Linked DNA regions of Arabidopsis thaliana. The protein of the gene in region 1 interacts with the protein of each later gene in a pairwise test. Each region holds a gene or a part of one and is shown in the gene's direction. Other genes may lie near its edges. The genes, in order: nPAP, PABN1, AT5G10350 and GATL4.

The links.
Region 2: the proteins of nPAP (region 1) and PABN1 interact in a two-hybrid assay, tested with the Arabidopsis thaliana proteins (one study listed by BioGRID).
Region 3: the proteins of nPAP (region 1) and AT5G10350 interact in a two-hybrid assay, tested with the Arabidopsis thaliana proteins (one study listed by BioGRID).
Region 4: the proteins of nPAP (region 1) and GATL4 interact in a two-hybrid assay, tested with the Arabidopsis thaliana proteins (one study listed by BioGRID).

The regions. Positions count from the first base shown.
Region 1 is NC_003075.7:15,847,611-15,855,130, forward strand, and holds nPAP (nuclear poly(a) polymerase), read left to right. Parts: upstream 1-2,161; 5' UTR 2,162-2,523; coding exon 2,524-2,658; intron 2,659-2,755; coding exon 2,756-2,833; intron 2,834-3,159; coding exon 3,160-3,267; intron 3,268-3,439; coding exon 3,440-3,502; intron 3,503-3,570; coding exon 3,571-3,732; intron 3,733-4,068; coding exon 4,069-4,182; intron 4,183-4,263; coding exon 4,264-4,326; intron 4,327-4,407; coding exon 4,408-4,737; intron 4,738-4,815; coding exon 4,816-4,980; intron 4,981-5,117; coding exon 5,118-5,951; intron 5,952-6,059; coding exon 6,060-6,143; coding exon of another isoform or gene 6,144-6,200; exon of another isoform or gene 6,201-6,281; coding exon of another isoform or gene 6,282-6,296; exon of another isoform or gene 6,297-6,554; coding exon 6,555-6,635; coding exon of another isoform or gene 6,636-6,656; exon of another isoform or gene 6,657-6,707; coding exon of another isoform or gene 6,708-6,741; exon of another isoform or gene 6,742-6,752; coding exon 6,753-6,833; 3' UTR 6,834-6,850; downstream 6,851-7,520. Other genes in the region: PFK6 (phosphofructokinase 6), read right to left, coding at 3-49, 591-695. UniProt on the Arabidopsis thaliana protein: Essential protein. Polymerase that creates the 3'-poly(A) tail of mRNA's. Also required for the endoribonucleolytic cleavage reaction at some polyadenylation sites.
Region 2 is NC_003076.8:20,777,560-20,782,335, forward strand, and holds PABN1 (polyadenylate-binding protein 1), read left to right. Parts: upstream 1-2,101; 5' UTR 2,102-2,200; coding exon 2,201-2,356; intron 2,357-2,455; coding exon 2,456-2,558; intron 2,559-2,637; coding exon 2,638-2,760; intron 2,761-2,827; coding exon of another isoform or gene 2,828-2,836; coding exon 2,837-2,895; intron 2,896-3,139; coding exon 3,140-3,331; intron 3,332-3,415; coding exon 3,416-3,534; intron 3,535-3,636; coding exon 3,637-3,682; 3' UTR 3,683-3,998; downstream 3,999-4,776. Other genes in the region: AT5G51105 (ECA1 gametogenesis family protein (DUF1278)), read left to right, coding at 73-444; AT5G51110 (Transcriptional coactivator/pterin dehydratase), read right to left, coding at 757-848, 927-1,122, 1,447-1,821; AT5G51130 (S-adenosyl-L-methionine-dependent methyltransferases superfamily protein), read left to right, coding at 4,337-4,558, 4,655-4,769.
Region 3 is NC_003076.8:3,254,091-3,259,840, reverse strand, and holds AT5G10350 (RNA-binding (RRM/RBD/RNP motifs) family protein), read left to right. Parts: upstream 1-2,029; 5' UTR 2,030-2,094; coding exon 2,095-2,205; intron 2,206-2,295; coding exon 2,296-2,398; intron 2,399-2,540; coding exon 2,541-2,611; exon of another isoform or gene 2,612-3,627; coding exon 3,628-3,819; intron 3,820-3,901; coding exon 3,902-4,029; coding exon of another isoform or gene 4,030-4,033; exon of another isoform or gene 4,034-4,118; coding exon 4,119-4,167; 3' UTR 4,168-4,605; downstream 4,606-5,750. Other genes in the region: EMB3010 (Ribosomal protein S6e), read left to right, coding at 152-209, 303-411, 509-781, 869-1,107; AT5G10340 (F-box family protein), read right to left, coding at 4,796-5,750. UniProt on the Arabidopsis thaliana protein: Involved in the 3'-end formation of mRNA precursors (pre-mRNA) by the addition of a poly(A) tail of 200-250 nt to the upstream cleavage product.
Region 4 is NC_003074.8:1,892,150-1,897,281, reverse strand, and holds GATL4 (galacturonosyltransferase-like 4), read left to right. Parts: upstream 1-2,190; 5' UTR 2,191-2,422; coding exon 2,423-3,478; 3' UTR 3,479-4,318; downstream 4,319-5,132. Other genes in the region: AT3G06270 (Protein phosphatase 2C family protein), read right to left, coding at 1-519. UniProt on the Arabidopsis thaliana protein: May be involved in pectin and/or xylans biosynthesis in cell walls.

The DNA.
Region 1 (7,520 bases):
ACCTTACTACTGAATAAGCAGCATTTGATTGCAACGGGTTTGGATAAGTCTGTTAGAGAAGGTATCAGCAAAAGTGAATAAAGTATAAAATGAAACGAAGCTATAGCATGATTTGAAATATGAACCAAAAAGCTTTTTTTTTTCTCCATGGCAAGACTAATTTACAATCCAATTCTTCCATTACTCTACATGTATAAGAACCTCATTACATTAGCATCAAATTTAGAAAATAGTAAGTGATTAATAGATCTAATCAAACATTCGGTGACGAGTAAGCATATGTGCACCAATCAATTTCCACGTTGACATTGATTTAACATTTCACATTTGTATGCACTAATACGAATATAAATATTTATGTAATTCTCTCCCTGATAGAGACCAGGATCTCATCAACAGTCCGAATCAACATATAGGCTAAAAATAGGCGAAACCAATTATACAAACACAACTTTTGCATTTGCTATACACGAACCACCAAATCGGCAACAATATCAAATTCGTAAATCGTATAACCACCGATCCATGAAAATGTCGATTTCAAAGAATAATCGATGGAATCGTATAGAGATAGAGAGAGGAAGTAGTACGGGGAGATCGAGAATGTAATCGCTCAAATGAGGAACATCTTCGAGTACATAACCAGCAGGTCCTTCCACCAACTTAATCTGCTCGTCCACGCCATTAGAAGCCATCGAAGAAAACCTTATTCTTCTGAGTGTTTTTCTCTCCGGTGACGTAAAGCGACTGTGAATTTGAAGCGTATGTATGTATGTGAGTTTTAATTCTCAGAGCTCAGAGTGGTATAGAAGTAAGGAACGAGAAAGCGACGTCGTTTTGGCTCACCGTTACTTTATGATATACGGACATTACCGAAATACCAGCGTAAACGGCGGCTGGTTTTTCCTTTTGTCAATTTCCGGTTTTCAGATAATTGATTCGTGGATAAATGCAGAAGTATGGATAAAATCTCATTAATTATCTTTATTATACCTTTAAAGAAAATGACAAAAATTAAACGATAAGAATATCTTAATATTTACGAAATATATTCTTAGTAATTTCTCTATTTGGTGTCAAAAATATATAGGCAATTTTTCTATTCTTTAATTTCTTAAGATTTTTTTTTTTTAAAATCATTTTTTCTTAGTATATGGTATTGTTCATGACAAAGAGAGAAATATCATATCCTGTTGAGAAATAGCATTTATAAAAACTGATTTGTTTTGTAAAAATAATAATGTCAAGCTAATGTATAGATCGAATAGTTATTTTAGCTTAAAAATCAAATTTCTGAGAGGAGAAAATTTATCTTACAAATCTTTATAACGCTTAAGTATAAAAAAAAGATCTTAATACACAATTGTCCGAAAAAATCATTTTTAAACTATCAAATTATCGGTTTAAACTTTTTATTTGATTAACAAATCAATCTAAACTTTACAAATCTTCATGAATCAATTTAGGATTTAAATATCAAACAAGTGGATTCTAAAATAATAAAGTTTCCTCTCCAATTAGGAGTATAATGAATTACATATTTGGAAAGAAAAGATTCGAGTATTAATAAATTTTAGATGAATTTGATAAGTTTTAGACAGTTAGGAAAGTTGTTACTATTTGTTATTAAAAATATTTGCAATCTCCCTCACTAAAAAAAAATAATATTTGCAATCTCACAAAACCATGAGAATTGGGTCTTTGTAATTTTTAATCAAGGAAATCCATTATTACATCACTAATTGAAATTCATGTTTGTATATACAGCCTAAACTTTTGTATATACAGCCTAAACTTTTGTATCTTTTATTTAAAAACACTTTAATATGTTAAAATCCAATATAGTATCAAAATTATATCAAAATCTAATAAACAACACACCAGTTTTCAACTTTATCAATTAAAATTAACAGATGGTGATTTTAAATCAGTTGGTTTCCATCGACACATGATTTCTAGTTACCAATAATCCCACTAACCCCATTAAAATCTTTAAATTAAAAATCTGAACAAAATTATCTAATTTAGATTTGTTTTCAAAATGATTACAATGTTTTCTTGTTTTGAACGGAGACTTATCGGCTCCCTCCGTAAAATAATCATACACATTAATCCACTAATCAAAATTTAATTATAAAATCGAATCGCCGTGTACCTAATATCTTCCCCAACCTTTGCTCTCTCTCTCTCTCCATCTCCCTCATACCTCCTTCTTCTTCTTGATCCATCATCTCTCTCTCTTTCTCTCTTCTCTCTGTTCCTAGTCCATCGATTTAACCTCTTTCAGATTCTCCTTCTTCTTTGACTTTTTTTGACACCGTAGTCTCTTTCCCCTTCCATCGATTTAGGGTTTCCGATTTTCAAAATCTCCTTTTTATTTGTTTCCTCTCCTTGTGCAATTCCCGTCTCGAATCCATCTTGACCTGGGGGTCTGATCCGATCTCCCTCTAATCATATCGTGAAGCGAGATTATGTTTTTGTGCTGCGCTTCTGCTTTGATCGCTTAGGATTATCAATCGTGTTATGATGGTGGGTACTCAAAATTTAGGTGGTTCGTTGCCGCCGCTGAATTCTCCTAAAAGCTATGGAATTACGAAGCCGCTCTCTCTTGCTGGGCCTTCTTCGGCGGATATTAAGCGTAATGTGGAGCTGGAGAAGGTAAAGCTTTGTTTTTTTGTTTATACAAAAATTGTTCCACTGTTTAAAGGATTCGTTGATTTGGCTTATCTGATGTGTATTTTCTTATATGCTCAAGTACTTGGTTGATGAGGGACTCTACGAGAGCAAGGATGATACCATGCGGCGAGAGGAAGTTCTAGGACGCATCGATCAGGTGACTCAGCGTGTCTCGTTGATTGTTTGTTCTGTATATTTACAAGTGTTATCTTTTGATGGTTGTGCTAATTGGGTGTCTGAATCGACAAGAATAAAATTATTGTGTTTATAATGGTCTTTTAGGTTTCATTGTATTGGTTCTTACTCGTGTATGGTTGTTGATTTTGGGCTAAGCATAGATCATAGTTCAATATGAAATAGACTGGTCAGGCATATGTTCTTATGTCCATTGATTTACTTTGCTGTTTTTAAGTTTCTTCACATGCTGTTCATTGTGCTATTTGTCTGAAACTATCAATCTTATCTCCCACCTTTTTTTTTTAGATTGTAAAGCACTGGGTGAAACAGTTAACGCAGCAAAGAGGATATACTGATCAGATGGTGGAAGATGCAAATGCTGTCATTTTCACCTTTGGATCCTACCGACTTGGCGTAAGTGCTACTTGTTTACCGCTTCCTTGCTTTTATCTTGAAGCTAAAATGCGTATAATATGTTTTTTGCTATATGTTTGTGGATTACTCGAGAGATCGCTCTGTTTTTGTCTATGCAAATGCAATCTTAGTCTCTGAGGCTGAACCGACTTCAATTTTGTTCACTTTGCAGGTGCATGGTCCTGGGGCTGACATTGATACTTTGTGTGTTGGGCCATCTTATGTTAACCGGGAGGTGACTCTTGCTACCACTTATTGATGCAGAAGTTTGATTCTTTAGTTCTTAACACTTACTCTTTACAGGAGGATTTCTTCATCATCTTGCATGATATATTGGCTGAGATGGAAGAAGTGACTGAGCTCCATCCTGTTCCCGATGCCCATGTTCCGGTCATGAAATTTAAGTTTCAAGGAATACCGATTGATCTGCTCTATGCTAGCATATCACTTTTAGTTGTGCCACAGGTAATTTTCTGTGAATTTATTGTATCTTTCTTTGTTTTTGCTGAAGCTGTAGGGTCTGATAAATTTATATTAGCTTGTATATATTATGCTATATGTTGTGCTTGTTTGCATGTTGATGGAGACAGATAGTGTATTACTCATCCTCAATGGCTTATATAGTAAACAAATTTATTTTAGTAGTTTCTGGCTTGAGAGAGAGATCTGAAAAGTTTGCTGGCTATTTTGGTGCATCGGTTTTGATTTTTATATGAAAACTGAGCCCGTGAGCTGTCATGGTAGATTACAATCTCTTGCTGAATCAAATTTCTTGTTTTCATGGATTTGGTTTATCGACAGGATCTGGATATCTCCAGCTCTTCTGTGCTGTGTGAAGTTGATGAGCCAACCGTTCGAAGTCTTAATGGTTGTAGAGTTGCTGATCAGATTCTTAAACTCGTTCCAAATTTTGAGGTAAACTCACAGAATGCCAGTCATTATGTTAACATATGAATGAACTATGGTTACCTTCTCTTATCTTATGTGCAATTGTAGCACTTCCGGACAACCTTAAGATGCCTGAAGTACTGGGCTAAGAAGCGTGGGGTGTATTCAAATGTAAGATCATAGCTTTCTGAAATTCGTATTTATTGAAAACTTTCATGTCTAAGCTCTTGTCATATTTCTCATATTGGGCAGGTGACTGGATTTCTTGGCGGTGTAAACTGGGCACTTTTGGTTGCTCGTGTCTGCCAGCTTTATCCAAATGCAATTCCTAGTATGCTGGTTTCTCGTTTTTTTAGAGTATATACTCAATGGCGGTGGCCGAACCCAGTCATGCTTTGTGCAATAGAAGAGGATGAGCTTGGATTTCCTGTCTGGGACCGTCGTAAGAATCATCGCGACCGCTATCACCTTATGCCAATAATAACTCCAGCTTACCCATGCATGAATTCTAGTTACAATGTCTCTCAAAGCACTCTTCGCGTTATGACAGAGCAGTTCCAGTTTGGTAACAATATCTTGCAGGTAAGTGAGCAAAACTTTTGACTTGTTATCTCAACTATTTATTCAGGATCCTATACTTATGCATGATTTTTAATGCAGGAGATTGAATTAAATAAACAGCACTGGAGCTCTTTATTTGAACAATATATGTTTTTCGAGGCATACAAAAACTACCTTCAGGTTGATATAGTGGCAGCAGATGCAGAAGATTTATTGGCTTGGAAGGGTTGGGTGGAGTCGCGGTTCAGACAGCTGACCTTAAAGGTTGATAGCCTCCTCTTTTCATTTGATTTACAGTAATAAACCTGCTGTATATCAGTGTTTAATCATATTTGTTGTGGTAGAAAATATAAAATTATTAAATGTTTCTCGATTTTGTTTCTTTTCATTCAATAATGCAGATAGAAAGAGACACTAATGGGATGTTAATGTGCCATCCCCAACCAAATGAGTATGTAGACACGGCTAGGCAGTTTCTGCATTGTGCCTTTTTCATGGGCTTGCAGAGGGCAGAGGGAGTTGGGGGTCAAGAATGTCAACAGTTTGATATACGTGGTACTGTCGATGAGTTCAGACAAGAAGTAAACATGTATATGTTTTGGAAACCTGGGATGGATGTTTTCGTTTCTCATGTTCGTAGACGACAGCTTCCACCTTTTGTTTTCCCTAATGGATATCGAAGGCCTCGGCAGTCCAGGCACCAAAATCTACCGGGTGGAAAATCTGGTGAAGATGGCAGTGTTTCTCATTCCGGCTCTGTGGTGGAGAGGCATGCCAAGCGAAAGAACGATAGTGAAATGATGGATGTGAGGCCAGAGAAACCTGAGAAGCGTGCATCTCTTAGTCCACAGAGTCTAGATATAGTTTCTCCTGAAAATAGTGCTATCACAACTGGTTGGACTCCTCCTGTTTGCAACCTTAGAAGGCCACCAAGCGAGGAAATAGAAGCTGATAATTTGAACACTGAGTGTACTGAACTCACAGACTTAGCTCGAAATGAGTGTAACTCTGGCAGCGAGCAAGTTCTTGAAGTAGATAGTATGGCTGTAGTTCAAGAATGCTCTGATCCTGCTGAGCCTTTGGGAAAGTGTGTAACACCTGACTCTGTTGATGTGGTAGCATGTGTAAGTGGGCAGGAAGAAAACTTAGATCGTAATTTGAGGTCTGTATCCATCAGTGGTACTGACTCCCCACTTCTTCCGAGCAGATCCTGTGGGCAGAACCGTGATTATGAGGTTAGTTTTTTTTTTCTTTTTGTATATGTTTGGGGGTTCTGGTGTGTTATCAGAAATTGGCAATAATTGTTTGAACATACCGGGCATAGTAATGATGAGTTTTTACAGGGTTTCGGGTTTCCTGCTGCAAATTCAGATCCTATGGGAAAGAAAAACTTGTACTCTCAAAGCGGCATGTCGGAAGACCTTCAGGTTATTAAGCTACCTCACAGTAGTTATCATAAGATTAGTTCTGTTGAAAATATTTAATAGCTGGTTTAAAAATGAATGTCCAATGATATGCGAGCATCAATTCTCCACACTACATGGAATCTCATACTGGTTTCATAGTGTCAAGAAACATAGGATGGAGCTAAGTTTGAAATTTGATGGTTGTCCATAAACAGTACTACTTAAGAGGTCAATGTTTCTGCTGTGTTATAACTTGCCTTGTGTGATTTCTGCTGCATACCGCCTAACTAGTGCATATATATGATTGGCAGGTCCTGCACTGCAAAGCAACTCCGCTTGAAACTTATTGAATTAGACTTTTCTCTCTTTGATTAAGTTTTGTAAGGAATAAAACTAACTTATGTTGTTGCTCGTAATCTTGTCTTGTCTTAGTCAAACTCTTTGGTGAGCGGGATGGAGAAGTCGGAAGACAGAGCTAGGTCAGAATCTTTCCAGAAGTCACAGATAAGGCATGTGTGTTATGCAAAGTCATGATTTCTTTATGTTATTCTTGTTGTGTATTTGGTTTCATTGGTGCTTTTATAGCACAAGCAGGTTAAGCTTAAAGTCCACTGTGTGAACGTCCTCTAGGCTATTGACGTGAAGAAAACGGGGGATTTCAACTCAAATTGTTGCGTTGGACAGACGACAGAGTCCAGAAGCTTTTGGTAAGTGAATTTTTAATATGGAAAAAAGAAAAAAGAAAAAAAAAAGTTAAAAAATGACATTTGAAAAATTCAAAAAAAAAAAAAAGAATTAAGTTAAAAAAAAAAAGGTAACCAAAAGAGAAAAGAAGGTATAGGCAGAGAAAGCATTGGTGGTGGTATTTTGAGTGAGCTTGGATGATGACCAAAGCTCAATATGCGTCATCAGGATCATAACTTGAAGATTGAAATGATTTATATAATGTCTGGATGATGAATGCTTTTTTTTTTTTATTATTCGGCTGTTTCAGACTCTGGTCCTCTTAGGGCTTTGACTTGAATCGTTTGTGTTTTTTTAATTTTATTTTGCGGTTTATGTATATAAGATCTATGCCTCCTTGTCTCTCGTTTTTGGAGTTATGCTGTCAAAACTAAGTGAGAGTAGTTGCAATGAAAGGCTTTAAAATAAAGGTTTCTGATCTATATCAAAGTCAAAACACTGTTTCTTTTTTTCTTATGATGTAATATGATGGAAAATCTATAGAGGAATTGGAATAATTGGTGGTTGAACCGGGAAAGACAGATTCTCAAATTTAAATGTGTCGGATCTGCTAGTTCCAAATACAAGTTCAAAGCGTCACTTAAAATATAGAGGACCATGAATAAGTACAAGAGCTCTGTATTTGAAAACATGAATGGTTGGAATTCCTACCGA
Region 2 (4,776 bases), on another chromosome or scaffold:
AATAACTTTATCTCATCAAACAAAACTCAAGTCATCTATTTCTCTTGTTGCATAGTCCCCCAAATATTCATCATGTCGATCAAGAGTGTTGTTTCTCTCCTAGTAGTTGTATGCATCGCAGCCTCCGTTAATGCTCAGCTACCGCAGTTTCCCCCAATCATGTTCCCGTTTCCAAATCCGTTCAAACCAAGTCCCGGTATGGCAGGAAGTCCCGACTTGAGCAAATGTTGGTCAACAGTGATGGATTTGCCGGGATGCTTTGAAGAGATTCAACAAGCCGTAATGTCCGGCAAATTTGAAGGCGTTGGTCCTGCTTGTTGTAAAGCTTTCCTTGACGCTGAAGCTAACTGCTTACCAAATCTTCCATCCAACCCGTTTTTCCCTCCTATGATGAAACACCAATGCTCCAAAATGGCTAGTCCTCCAACCACCACCGCCTATTAGAATGCAAAAATGTAGTTGTGTTTTTTCGAATTTTTTGTTAGTCCCAGAATGTTCTAGAAGAAGAAATGATAATAATAATGTCTTAATCTAATAATAATGTCTCATTTCTTATATTGTGCTCCATATGATTGATGTTCTTTCTTCTTTTGATTGATGAATGAATCTCAAAGACATGTTGCGTGATATCTCTTATGCGGTTATGACAATGCTTTCTATATAACTCGACATGTAGACCGATCACACACAATTTAGAATACATCACATACATTACATACTATCAAACAAAAATGTTCCAAAATAATGAAAAGAAGATCACGCCCAAGCTCTTTTCCTAGGGGAAAGATCAGAAGTCTTGATATCATCTATTTTAGCCGCCATTATGAAATCATTCATGCTCAACCCTCCTGCATTATTCATCCAACAAACCGTCTTAAGAAACCATATATTAAAACTCAAACTCGAACATCAAATATTTGACATACCGATAGAAGAGGTAAATAGTTCAGCTCGAACTTGGGTAGGACTTTCCAAGTGAAGAGAAGGGTAATGACCAGAAGCTTCAGCAACCTTATGGATCCTGTTTATGAGTTCAACACCGCACCCAAAATCCCTCACTTTCCACATACACCTTATTTTCAGACCACCCGCTTCATTATCCACTATACTCCATCCCAAAACCTAAAACGTTTACATAATAATCATTGAGATTGATGTACCACATCATTAGAGTGGTAACCGTGAACCAAAACACCAACATGAGCCTTATCAACACTAATCATTTCATTTTTTTTTAATCTCGTAACCATTGTTCCTAATATGTCCCTCATGATACTAAAATTTTCATTGGCTTTTCTATATTTTTGGGTCACAATTCTATCTTTATAGATTAGAAATCTGTTAAACGCAGAATCAATAACATTTTCACAATATTTTGATCAACCAACAAACTTGTAAAATCAAAACTCGAACATTTTTATACTAAGAGAGAAATAGTATAAGTACCTTGTGGAGGAGAGTTCTGGCATCATCGCCGGACAAAGGAGGCTGTGAAGACGAAACAGGGGAACACTGAAGCTGGGAGAGAGACAAAACAGATGCGTTTGGTATCAAAATCTTGTGCTCAGTGCTTTGGCATCCCAACACTTTATCTCCGAATTGACTCGCTATCTCCTCCGGGTAAGGGTCACGAGCTCCGAAGTCACCAAGAAAATCCTGCGCCAGATTAGACCGGGTCACCGTTAACCGGCCGAGTTTACGGTTATTCCTACTTACAGGTGGTAATAAACCGAACACTTTAAGGATTGAGCGAGAAGGTTGACGGAGGAGGAGGGAGGACGCGGAGATGTTACACGGCGGTGATGATGACGTGGCGGCCATCGGGAGCTGTGATTTGCTCTGTACCGAAGATAAGAGTTTTGGTTTTTAGAGAGCGAAACGATTTTCAGACCACTGGACTGAGTTAAATGGGTGAGGTGCCACGTAATCACTAATGACTAATGGGAACCACAATAAACTTTCGTGGGACCGACTTTACACGTCACGTTTTAATCTGAGAAGCCCATTGGGTTTGATTGTACTTTTGTGTCCACTTTTGGTGAATCTACTTAAGATTTCATAATTCCGAAAGTATCCTTTTTGGGTATCTTTAATTACAAACAAACCTTCCCTTCTTTCCCGATTTCAAGCCCTAAAATTCCGAGACTTCTGTTTCTCGCTTTAACGACAGTCGCCGAGTGAGAGATATAGAGAGAGAAAGATGCCGGTGCACGATGAGCAAGAGCATGAGGTGTACGGTGGAGAGATCCCAGAAGAGGAAGAAGGTGAGATGGATACGGAAGAGTACGAAGAACACGGCGGAGAAGAAGGTGCCGCCGCCGGAGATGAGGAGCTTGAACCTGGCTCTAGCTCTAGGGTATTGTGATTCTTCGATCTATAATTTACTTTTATCCAATTGAGACTCTTCTTATTTTTTACTGTATTTAGTCTGTTATTTGCTTTGATTGTTTGATAGGACTTGGAGGATATGAAGAAACGAATTAAGGAGATTGAGGAAGAAGCTGGAGCTTTGCGTGAAATGCAAGCCAAGGCTGAGAAAGATATGGGTGCTAGTCAAGGTTTGTACTTATTAACTGATACGTAAAATCTTGAATCTTTGTGCGCAGCTTCACATTAACCTTTAAATTGATAGATTAGGTTTAAAGCTTGTCTTGTTGATTATGATATTGCTTTGGGTTTACATATTGGAATCTTTTAGTGAATCAATGAATCTGTCTAGAAATTTACTGGAGTTTGAGTATGAGAAGGAAATCATTAATAGTATTGTGGAGTCTTGTCAGTTAGCTAATTGGGTCAATACCTTTTATGTTGTTGCATATCAATGAAGACCCTTCAGGTGGTGTTAGTGCGGCTGAGAAGGAAGAAGTGGATTCGCGTTCAATATATGTTGGCAATGTGAGGCTTGTTCCACCATTAATTTTCACATGTTTCTCATATATGTTTGTATCTTTTTTAAAGAAAGTTTGTGTGTTTTATTGCTTTGGTATCAATGAAATTTGGAGGCTGCTTGTTGTTTATTTCTTTATCTCTAGTAATTGCTAAACTAACTTTCCTTCATATTTCAGAAAGCCTTCATATCTCCCATCTGTGAAGCTGATTCTTTAGATATCCTGTGTCTTTGTTTTTTTGTGTATATTAGGTGGACTATGCATGTACTCCAGAGGAAGTCCAGCAGCATTTTCAATCATGTGGGACAGTGAATAGGGTTACAATTCTGACAGATAAGTTTGGTCAACCTAAAGGTTTTGCGTATGTCGAATTTGTGGAAGTAGAAGCTGTTCAGAATTCGCTTATTTTGAACGAGTCAGAACTACATGGTCGTCAGATAAAGGTGCAAACTCGTTCAATACGATGTAGTTAATTATTTTCCATATTACGATTTGTCATTACTAAACTTTGTTTAATCTATTTTCAGGTATCTGCAAAGAGGACTAATGTACCTGGAATGAGGCAATTTCGAGGAAGAGGGCGTCCCTTTAGACCGATGAGGGGATTCATGCCAGGAGTTCCATTTTATCCTCCATATGCTTATGGGTGTGTTCTAGAACCTTACCTGCCTATCCTCTCTTTTAAAGTCCATTTGTTTGATTCATCATGGTTGTTCATAAAATTGACAATGGTTGATGGTTTGTGCAGGAGAGTTCCCAGGTTCAGACGGCCTATGCGCTACAGACCGTACTGATTAGGCAAATTGGTGTTAAAAAAGTAGCAGCTGCTTCTCCGTTTTCGGGAAAGCTTATCATCATCAACACGGTTCATCGGACGCTGCAGTTGTTTCGATTAACAGAGATGAGTTGAAGAATTGTATGGCAGAAGAGAGAGGGGAATTATATTCTAGATTTTCTGTACAATATTTGATGACAAGTGCAACATTTTGATGAGTTCCTTTGTTTTTATTATCTTCAAACACGAGTCACGATTTCACAATAACTCGCAAGCTTCCATTGTTCTAGATTTGATGCATATTGACCAAAAAAAAACAAAAGTTAATTCTCTAAGATTAATTTGGCCACGTCGGTGAAAGAAAAGGAAACTTTCGTATATTTACATAAATAGGTTTAAAGAATGTATTAACTAAAAAAGAGAGGATTACTTAAATATGAGACTCGTTAAACCCTTTTGGACTTTCAAAGGCGGTTCGGTTCTTCTTCTTCTTCTTCCTCCTCGCTCTGCGCCGCTTAACCTCGAAGAAAAACCTCTCTAGGAGCTAGCTTCGTCGAATCTCTCTGTTTAGACTTAATCGTTTTGTTTCGATTCTAAGAATCTAGCTGATAGCGATAACATAGAAGAAACCCTAACTTCGCGAGCTTTGTTCATCAACGCGTGTGAGAAAAAAATGGGTCGGGACAACGATCAGAAGAAGAATAAGAAGAAGAGAAACAGAAGTAATGAGAATGAGAAGAGTGTTGAGAAAGTAGTTGCTAATGAAGAGAAAGTCCCAACACAGCAGAAGCAGAAGCAACAACAAGGACAACAAGGAAATTGTAATCAAAGCAAGAAGAAGAAGAATCAAGAAGTTTATCCCTTCGGAAATTACAGAAACTACTATGGCTACCGAGTGAGTTTCGTAGTATATTTTCAAATTCCTTCATAGTCTGCTCATCTTTTGGTTTAGTATCTGATTTTGGATTCGTTTGGCAACATAATGTGTTAGATAAGCAATGACACGGATGAGGATCCTCGGCTTAAAGTGTTGAAGAAGGAATGGTTTGAAGGCAAAGACTGTCTTGACATTGGCTGCAACAGCGGCATCATGACTATTCATATTGGTATCTT
Region 3 (5,750 bases), on another chromosome or scaffold:
CACACTGCTAGGATCTGTTTATAGCTGATGCATTACTGGAATCTATGATGTTTACTGCGTTGGTCTGATATATAACCAGTTCTGAATCTGAAAATCAACATTGTCGATTTTGGTAAAGATATTGAGTTTCATTTCTGTTGTTTTGATGCAGCCGCGCCTTTTTCGACAAGAGGCTCTCTCAGGAAGTTAGCGGAGATGCTCTAGGCGAGGTGAAATTTTTTCTCCTGGTTCAGTGTTTTTTTCTGATGTCTTGTGAGTTCAGTATACTTAACAGAATTGTGTGTGTTTTGAGCTATTTGCAGGAATTCAAGGGATACGTATTCAAGATCATGGGAGGATGTGACAAGCAAGGTTTCCCAATGAAACAAGGAGTTCTCACTCCAGGGCGTGTCCGTCTTTTGCTTCACCGAGGTACTAGATTCCACCCCATTGATAAAATTATACAGCTTCTCTTTTTTTCATTAATCTTCTGTGTTTTTTATTTATGTGATCTGGTTATTGTGTTTAGGTACTCCTTGTTTTAGAGGACACGGAAGGAGGACTGGAGAGAGGAGACGAAAGTCTGTCCGTGGTTGCATTGTGAGCCCTGACCTGTCTGTTCTTAACTTGGTCATTGTGAAGAAGGGTGTAAGTGATCTTCCCGGGCTTACCGACACTGAGAAGCCAAGAATGAGAGGTCCCAAGAGGGCATCAAAGATCCGCAAGTTGTTTAACCTTGGAAAAGAGGATGATGTGAGGAAGTACGTTAACACTTACCGCCGTACCTTCACAAACAAGAAGGGTAAGAAAATTAGATTCACTTAAAGAGATAATTGAAAACTGTTTATACGATTGATGATTTACTAATATATGAGGCTTCCATGTGCAGGCAAGAAGGTTAGCAAGGCTCCTAAGATCCAGAGGCTTGTGACTCCATTGACCCTCCAGAGGAAGAGAGCTAGAATTGCTGACAAGAAGAAGAGAATCGCCAAGGCTAACTCTGATGCAGCTGATTACCAGAAGCTTCTTGCCTCCAGACTAAAGGAGCAGCGTGATCGCCGTAGTGAAAGTTTGGCCAAGAAGAGGTCTAGACTCTCTTCTGCTCCTGCTAAACCCGTTGCTGCTTAAACTGCCTCAAGATTAAGAAATTTCTTTCTCTCTAGTTTGTTTCTGGTCGTATTTAAGTTGCTCCACAGACATGAGAACGCCATTTTGAACACTATTTTTGGTTTCTGTTTTGTGTCAACTTTTCAAGCCTTTTATTATATCAAAGTTTTGAACCTCTTAGTAGTACGTTTGTTATATTTAGTTCTTATTTATATGCCCGTTTGTTGATAGTAAATGACCAGATGTCTTCATTATTAGATAAACTGATGACCTACCTTTAAAGTGTTTTTTCCAAAAAGTGTAATGTTTTGAACCAAAACTCAATCTCGATTAAACTCTTTTAATATGGAGACCCGTCGCTGAAGACTGACTCCTTTCTTCAAGCTGGTGTTGATCGGAGACTATGGAGTCGGAGAATCGCTTCTACTGTCTCCTTATGCCATCTTCGCCGAAATCCTCTGTTTTACAACAGTGGTAAGTAAAAAACTAAAAAGGTTGGAAGAAGACGAAGAACTTTGCTTAACTGCAATTAAAATTTATTTATTTAACAAATGGCTGTAGATATGTTTTGGGGAAAAGTCATTCTTATCAATACCTTTGGAATAATTTGGATCAAACTGTATCATATTTTTGTGGATAATTTGTCTCTGATATAAATTAATCTGATCCATATTATGCAGTATTATTTCACAGACCTCTTAATTTGGTCCATAAATTTAATTTGATCCATGATATAATTTGATAAATTATTCACAAGCCTGTTTCTTCCATAATGTTTGGGGCCTATGATGGGCCGAATTGAATTTTGAAGAAAAATCAAAACCTTCAGATTCAGTTAGAGTGTTATGATAATGGGCTCTTGTAAGTTTGTAACCGAGGCCCAATACGAGACGACGTCGTTGTTTGCAATCGACCTATCTGGATCGGTAGGAAAAGTGTGCAAGTCGTTTTCATTCACCAAAGCGAAGCTTTATTCGTTTGCTTGAGCTCCGAAGAGTGGAAACAAAAATGGAGGAAGAAGAGCACGAGGTTTACGGTGGAGAAATCCCTGAAGTCGGCGATACGGATGTTCCCGATCCGGATATCGATATGTCTGCAGCCGATGAGGACGCCGTTACGGTCTACTTCTGCTTCGTTCGATTTTGATTTTGTTGTATATCGTGTGTATACATCTGTTTGATTTTTGGTGTTTTGATTTCATGGAATCAGGAGCTTGCTGAGATGAAGAGGAGATTAAAGGAGATGGAGGAAGAAGCTGCTGCGCTACGAGAGATGCAAGCAAAAGTCGAAAAAGAAATGGGAGCTACTCAAGGTTTTGTGACTCTTTCGTTTTTTTTTTGAATTCGTTTGCTCGAGACTATCTTTGAATTTGATATACTAGGAGGAATCTGTTGATTGTGTAGATTACTTTTAGGAAATTGAACTTCTGTTTCTTGCTTAACAATTTGTTTCAGATCCTGCTAGTATGGCTGCAAATCAAGAAGGAAAGGAGGAGGTGGATGCTCGATCAGTTTATGTTGGCAATGTAAGATAGCTTATTTTCTACTTCATGGTATCTCTTCTGTGCTTGAATCATTGTTTCATCTAAACGGCTTTGATCTGTTTGCCAATCTTAGTGTGGATTAGCTTAGGCTGACTATTTTGTTAACTTAAATTTCATCTTTGATAAAAGAACTGCTTGCAATTGTGTCTTAGCTTTGTTCTTTATCCCTTGAGATTACTGTTAGAATCTGTATCAAGAGGCTTTCTCTAAATTTAATGTTGTGAAGTAGGTTCTTTATTGTTTCTAGTTGAAGAGTTTGACCTCTATGTCCTATATAATCGCAGGGTTGTTCTCATAAATGAAGTTCTTAATAGCTCTGGGTTCTCAACTAAGTTTTGTGACTGTTTTGCTAGTTTCCTTGTTGTAGTGTTAAAATCATTCTTCCCGTGCAATTTGATGATAAAAAAGCTATAAAAAAAATGTTGAAAGTAAAAAGAAAAGAGAAGGAAAAAAATTTGAAAAAAAAAAAAAAAGATATAGCAGAAAAATGTGGAGAAAAATATTGCATGAGCTTGAAAAAAAAAAGAAGGATTTCTTGAGAGGAAAAAGGGAGTCTGAGTGAGTTGGGTGGGATTAGAAAGCAAGGTTTCTGTTATCCTTGAGGAGATGGTCTCTGAACTCTGAAGAGCTGGATCAAGATGCCAAGATGCTGGATGCTTTCTAAACAAGACCCAAAGCTCCGCAGGGAGGATACTTGGAGCTAATACAGGTTTGGTTGTTTGCGGATTTCGCGAGAGGCTGCAGTTTGATGCTGGCCTTTTATCATGTATTTTTGAACTCACGCTCATAAAATGAAGACTTTCATAGCGTTTATGTACCATACATAACTTAGGTCTAATGTTAGACATGGAAAATTGCTTTAGAACACACAAGTTTGTCTCTTGGCTTCCCTTAGTGGGGTGGTTAACTTATCTATCTGTTACGTTCTCAGTAAGTCATGGTTTTAGTTGTAATAAGAATGCTTGTGTTGTACTAAGACCTCATTATCCACCCTGCAGGTCGACTATGCCTGTACACCTGAAGAAGTGCAACTACATTTCCAAACATGCGGAACAGTCAACCGGGTAACCATTCTAATGGACAAGTTTGGACAGCCAAAGGGATTTGCTTATGTGGAGTTTGTAGAAGTGGAAGCCGTGCAAGAAGCTCTGCAGCTGAATGAATCAGAGCTTCATGGTCGTCAACTGAAGGTATCTTCTCGTACTAAGACCAATACTGAAGGAAATGGACAGTTCATTGATCTCAACTCTTCTCTTTTGGTTTTCATTTCAGGTCTCGCCTAAGCGAACCAATGTTCCTGGAATGAAACAGTATCATCCTGGGCGTTTCAACCCTTCAATGGGATACCGCTTTCGCAGACCCTTTGTGCCTCCGTATTTTTATTCCCCATATGGATACGGGTAAGTTTAAACTCTGCATATTTACCATCAGTTTATCACAAATGGCTTTCTCTTCTTCGTCTCACGAGACTCGGCAATGCCTCGTGCAGGAAGGCTCCTAGGTTCAGAAGGCCAATGCGGTACATGCCTTACCAATAGAAACCGTACCGGAATAAGAAGAACTATGACAGAGATGATGCCGAGGTCGTCCCTCCATTTCGAGCTTTATATATGAATATGACTTTGCTCGCACCTGAACTTAATTTTGAATCTGTCATGTACGGATGAGATTATAAGCTTTTGTTTCTTTAGATTATGATTATATTTGGTCGATATTACTTTCAGTTTATATCTTTGTTAGTACTTTCTTTCATCCAAAGGGGGCTAAATAAGTATACCAACAAGAAGATTGATGTTACGTAGAGAAGCCTTTGTAAGAAGCTATTATGTTTCCGCAAAAAATCCCTTAGTCAGAAGCTAACCTTTACTAATCAATGATGTATGGTATAATCAAATCCCTTATTCCTTATAGTATTTGTTATCTTTTCGGTTTGGAGAATCGATGATTACAGAGTAAAAAAAAGAATAATGTTTTTTCTTCTCGTCATTAGTACTTTTGATGTATGGTATAATCAAAACATTAAATTTATGAAAATTTGTAATGTGATGTTGATATTGATAAAACATAGTAATTCATAACCCAGTGAGTAAACTAATCAGAAACTAGAATGCTTGGACAAATAACGACCAAAAAAGAATGCTTGGACAAATAACCAATCATTCAAGTCTACAAAATAGAAATTAAACTCGGGAAATAACAAACAACAGTTGCACAGCGATTAGATGTGTAAGGCAAATCATAAGATTTGGTATCTGGATCATGTGTTAGGAATGCATCCCCGTGTGTACTATCATAAAACAATAACTTGTCCTTGTCCAAAACTGCTAGTGGGGTGAATGCGAATATGGCACTAAAGAACAAAGAAGAGGTGATAATGAGGTCTATGGAATATATTTGCTTCCATGTCTTGTGGTCTGAATCATCCAACGACCATATGACTTGGTTGGGCCACTTTTGCTCGGATACGCACAAACGATCACCGAGGTTGCACATGACGATATAATATTCATCAGAGACATTGAGAAAGGGAGCTTTAGAGATGACTTGGAACGTTTCGGAGTGAAGATCCAAAGACAAAACCATGGTTTCGCCCTCGTGTGACAAGGCAGTGAACCAGTGAAGTGACCCGTCTACATAAACAGGATCTTGGGTGTGAAGAATCAGATGAGGGGACGCGGGGAAAACGTACCTCCAAGCGTTGGTGGCAAAATCGAAAACTTCACAAGTAGTAGGCTTGTCATTTAGGTCTAACTCAGCGGAATTATATAACCAAACTGGCTTGTAAGTGCCACTGATTTTGTCTTTGCCAAATCCAGGAGTAGGGCATGCGACTTTAAAGCACTCGTGTCTCTCACCCTTGTCGGCAGCGACTAGTTGATAGTTGCATTTAGGGAAAGTTCGATGCCATCGAGTGGTGGGATTGACGACAATACTCGGCAGTTCATAGAAACTAAAGAGGCATATCAGACCATCACAGCTAGTATTGCAAACGAAGTACAACTTGTCCTCCCAAGGAGTAGGGATCTGAACAGAAGCTGCAGATGACTCCACCAAAAAAGTTCTCAGAGCTTCAAAGCTGCTTATGCTTGGATCTTGTTGACGAGCACAAGGATCATATAAG
Region 4 (5,132 bases), on another chromosome or scaffold:
CGCCCTCGAATCTCCTACATTGGCAACATAAATCTTATCCCCAACAACAAGAACCGTAATGGCAGTAGTACCACTCATCGAATCGTCGATTTCACTATCGTGTAACTCTTCATTAACCCTCAAAAAAGCAGACTTGTAAGCTTTCTCCGGATCCTCAAGCAGAGTTGGGTCTTCAGACAACATTTCCACAACCCTCTCCTTAACAAAATTCGAACACTGCGTACCCAACACACCGTGACCATCAAAGACACCGAAGAAATGAACATTCGGGTTACCTTGAAGCTCTGTTTTGATGCAGTAAGTGTCTTGATTCTCCTTATCAGGTGAGTCAGGGTAATAGCCTCGTTGAGATAACACAGAGTAAACCATATCGAAATTAGGAGAAGGAACGTGAATAGATCCAAGAGGTTTCTGATCTTTCCCCTTAAGAACACCATTGGCTTCTAAAGGTCCACGAGAATCTCCATCTGATGATGACGAAGGATATCGGCTACAACATTTGCATTGAACACAACCCATAACGCAGAAAAACAGATTCGATTGCACAAACAAAAAAACGTGCTTTCCTTGAAAAATCTTTAGCTTCAAGCTGGGGCTAGAACAAGCAATCTCTAGGGAAACGAAATTCGTGGGATTCAACAATGGCGTCCAGAAAAGTGTAGGGTTTTGCGAATGTCATGTTAAACGCGGCAAAATCGAAAAAGGAAAGACGAAATTGGAACCCAAAGGCAGAATCTTTAATGGAAAAAAATGGAGGAAGAGGAAGAAGAGAAACAAAGGTTACAAAAGAGGAAAAATTCGTAACTTTATCTTGTTGCTGCTGTTGTTCGAATTCTTCTTTCTTTTTTCACCTTGGTGGTCTTCCTCAACCTTTGTTTTTTCCCTTAAAGGGTTATTTCGTCAACCCTTTTAAGAGAAAGCGTCAAAAATTTGAGAAACCCTAAAATGCCCAAAGCAGAGGAATTTGTTCCTGAAGAAAGAATAAAAAGAGAAGAAGACGAAGAAGAAGAGAGAGAGAGAGAGAGAGAGAGATGAAAGAATATTGGTTTGGTGGATCCGACGGATGGAGTACACGGGTGGGTTTGGCCTCTGCCACAGCCGCGCACGAGTTCCCAAATCAAACCAAAAACTTTTTGAGATTATCGATGCTTTCTTTTCCTCGAGATAATTCCTTACTTTTCTCGTTTATTTTCTCCCCGTTTCGGGTCGGGTATCATAACATTTTCTCGACCCGATAATCCATGAAAATATTGAAAACCTAATGGGCCTAAGGCCCTGTGAATTAGGTAGCTATCACATTACCATACAACATGGTAAAAAATGTAAAATATAAAGGATTACTTAGTAAGTGTAATTTACCTCGAGACCATGTATGACATGGTGAGTCCAATCCATATATCCACTGTTTATGAAACAGTCTTTTTTTTTTGTGTACATGAAATTATGAGTTCACTGATTTAGACCAATTACATGGAACTAGAGAAAGAAATCTTCTACCACTCAAGCAAGAAAGATTCGACTCGATTTCTATTTGTCTTATCTGCAAATGGCTAGTATTGGTGAAAGAATAAGTTTGAACTCAAATATTTGTAATCGAAAGAGTTTCAAGAGATCTTCTCTCTGGTTCATATATTATTTATATATATGGATTAGTATTAGGCATGAGAATGACCGATTGACACGCGACTGTCTTAGTAGCCATGCATGAAGATTGGAGTATATAAGACATTTTTCTTTTCTTGAAACGTGGAGTAACACACACTTTCTTAAGTTAGTTTCTTACTATTTTACTTAACTTTTGGAATTACAGATTTTACCAGTACCACTATATATATGATGAGATCGTATGATGTTATCAGGGATTTGATCACATAAAAATCATTATTTTCTTGCATGAAAAGCATGCATTAATACATTTTAGGGGAGTTTGTTACAGTATTCTAATTTTGGTACTTCCAAAAAGGAAAAAAAAAAACCCGCCGACGCAATCAAGTGTAAAAAGAAATGACAGCAAAGCAAATTGATCAGACCAATTTTGTCCTAAAAATAAACAATAATTTTTGTTTCCAAAAAAAAACATAAACCAGTTTCTAAGAATCTAAAGAAGAAGAAACAAAATCTAAAAATTCACTCCGATTTCATTGGACAACAGACTTGTCTTGTTCCTATTTCATAGGAAATGGATTTTTTTTGGAGACAAAATTTTGTGTGAGAAACAGTCCGAAGTTCAATCTCTTCCCCACATTTAGACTGCTAATAAAACAAGCCTCTCCCCAAATCCTTTATTCTAGCCTTTCCCTAACAATGGCTCTATTAACTAATCAATCTTTTTAATTTGTAATGTTTAAACCTTTTTTAAAAAAAAATTAAAAAAAAAAGTGAAAATAATAATAAAAGAGTTTACCTGAGAATTAGGTTCAGGATGGCCTCAAGGAGCCTCTCCTATACACAACTCCTAGGCCTCCTGTCCTTTATACTCCTCTTGGTCACAACCACCACTATGGCGGTTCGTGTTGGAGTCATTCTTCATAAGCCTTCTGCTCCAACTCTTCCTGTTTTCAGAGAAGCCCCGGCTTTTCGAAACGGTGATCAATGCGGGACTCGTGAGGCTGATCAGATTCATATCGCCATGACTCTCGACACAAACTACCTCCGTGGCACAATGGCTGCCGTTTTGTCTCTCCTTCAACATTCCACTTGCCCTGAAAACCTCTCTTTTCATTTCCTGTCCCTTCCTCATTTCGAAAACGACCTTTTCACCAGCATCAAATCAACCTTTCCTTACCTAAACTTCAAGATTTATCAGTTTGATCCAAACCTCGTCCGCAGCAAGATATCGAAATCCATCAGGCAAGCCCTTGATCAGCCTCTTAACTACGCAAGAATCTACCTCGCGGATATCATCCCTAGCAGCGTTGACAGGATCATCTACTTAGACTCAGACCTCGTTGTGGTAGACGACATAGAGAAGCTGTGGCATGTGGAGATGGAAGGTAAAGTGGTGGCTGCTCCCGAGTACTGCCACGCAAACTTCACCCATTATTTCACAAGAACTTTCTGGTCAGACCCGGTATTGGTCAAAGTTCTTGAAGGAAAACGTCCGTGTTATTTCAACACAGGGGTGATGGTTGTGGATGTAAACAAATGGAGGAAAGGAATGTATACACAGAAGGTAGAAGAGTGGATGACAATTCAGAAGCAGAAGAGGATATACCATTTGGGATCATTACCTCCGTTTCTGCTGATATTCGCCGGTGATATAAAAGCGGTTAATCATAGGTGGAACCAGCATGGTCTAGGAGGTGATAATTTCGAAGGAAGATGTAGAACGTTGCATCCGGGACCGATAAGTCTTCTTCACTGGAGTGGAAAAGGGAAGCCATGGTTAAGACTAGATTCAAGGAAGCCTTGTATCGTTGATCATCTATGGGCACCGTATGATCTGTACCGTTCATCAAGACATTCATTAGAAGAGTAGAGAGGCAAAAGAAAAAAACCATTAAACATGGCACATATAGGAGAGGAGAAGATACAAAAGAAAGCAGGGGTTTTTAGCGATCAAAGAGAGCCAAAAATGTTTCATTACAAAGTGAAAAAAAGTTGTAATGTTAAACACATTGTTGTGCATTTGAGCTCAGAGTGTGTTTCATCACAAGAAGAGATAGATGGTATTATCATCATCATCATTTTTTTTTTCTCCTTTCTTCGGTTTTGTTTCCCTCTCTTTGATTCAAACCTTTAGAATATTCCTCGTGTAATATACATAGGTACAAACAAAATGGAGGATTAAATTCATTCTTTTTATAAACAGAGAATCGAATCTAAATTGTTTACAAATCATCAAAACTTTATCACTAAAGAAAAAAGATCCGACACAGAAACTAGCGACACTGTTTCGAAATTCCGGTTACAGACAGTGGCTGTCTGAAATCAATCTACATCAATCCAGAACAAAACAGGAAGACAATAAGTTTTACCAGAATTAAGGCGAGAGACGTCACAAATCTGCAGGATTCTCCAACAAGCAAGCATAAGGAACTTTTGGCCGGTATAGTTTTGTCCGCTTCGGTCTCGGTTTAGTGGAATTCCCGACGACAAGCTTACACCGCCGATCAATTTCGTGTCTTTCTTTGGGTTAGATTCCGGTGTCTGGTAATGGCGAATCACTAACTAACGGATTCTCTGATTTGTAACTAACATAACGCGGGAAAAAAACTAAAGGACGAGCAAACCAACCTCAGCTGATTATTAGAGAAAAATATTGATATACAGAAGAACCCTAGATACCTCCGATCCTCGAAATCGATTTGTATCTTCAGGGGAAGAATAAATGTGTTTCCTTTTTTCAAATCTGTAAAATTTATAATGATAAAGATGACTTTTTTATTATTATTATTAAATTTGAGTTGAGACTCGAGACCATGTCCTTTGGAAAGTTAATAAAAAACAGAGTATTTTTTAAGTAATGTTATTACATTTGGTCAAAAATAAAGGTGGAGCTTTTTTGCTTTGCTTCTTCTCATTCTCTCTCTCTATCTCTATATGTATCTCTGTCTATCTTCTTCTTCGTTTCAAGCCCTAAATTGTGTATCTTCTTTGTTGCAATCTTCTCTACGAAGAGAATGGTGAAGAGGGTCAAGAATTGAGAGACTCCAAAGTGAAGTCTAATCGGCACACAAACTTGAAGCCTTTCCGAGCGGTCTTGCAATCTCCGTCGTGTTAATTAAAGGAAGGGTTTTGCGTTTTCTTTCCTGATTCGGTCGCTTCTATGGACATGGAGAGGTAATCTTCGGAGGACAATACATTTCAGATATGTGTTTCGATTAGTTTTTTTGTCTTTTTTTCTCCCTCAAATTTCATTTCTTTTTAGCTTCAATTAAATTCAGATACGGGTTATGATTAATCTGCACTTCTCTAGTTGTCTGATTATATCTTCTCATTGTTTCTTCTTTAGGAGTTTTCCATTTTTGCGTTTTTTGGTTACATAAAAAAAAAAAAGAATGCGAGGCTAATTAGAGATCTAAGCTTAGGTGTGAGATACATAATCTTTCAGTAGCTATCTGTCTTTGTTTTGTATTTACTGTTTTCTGTGTCCAAGAATGTGTAGTTTGATTTCGCATCACTGACATTGG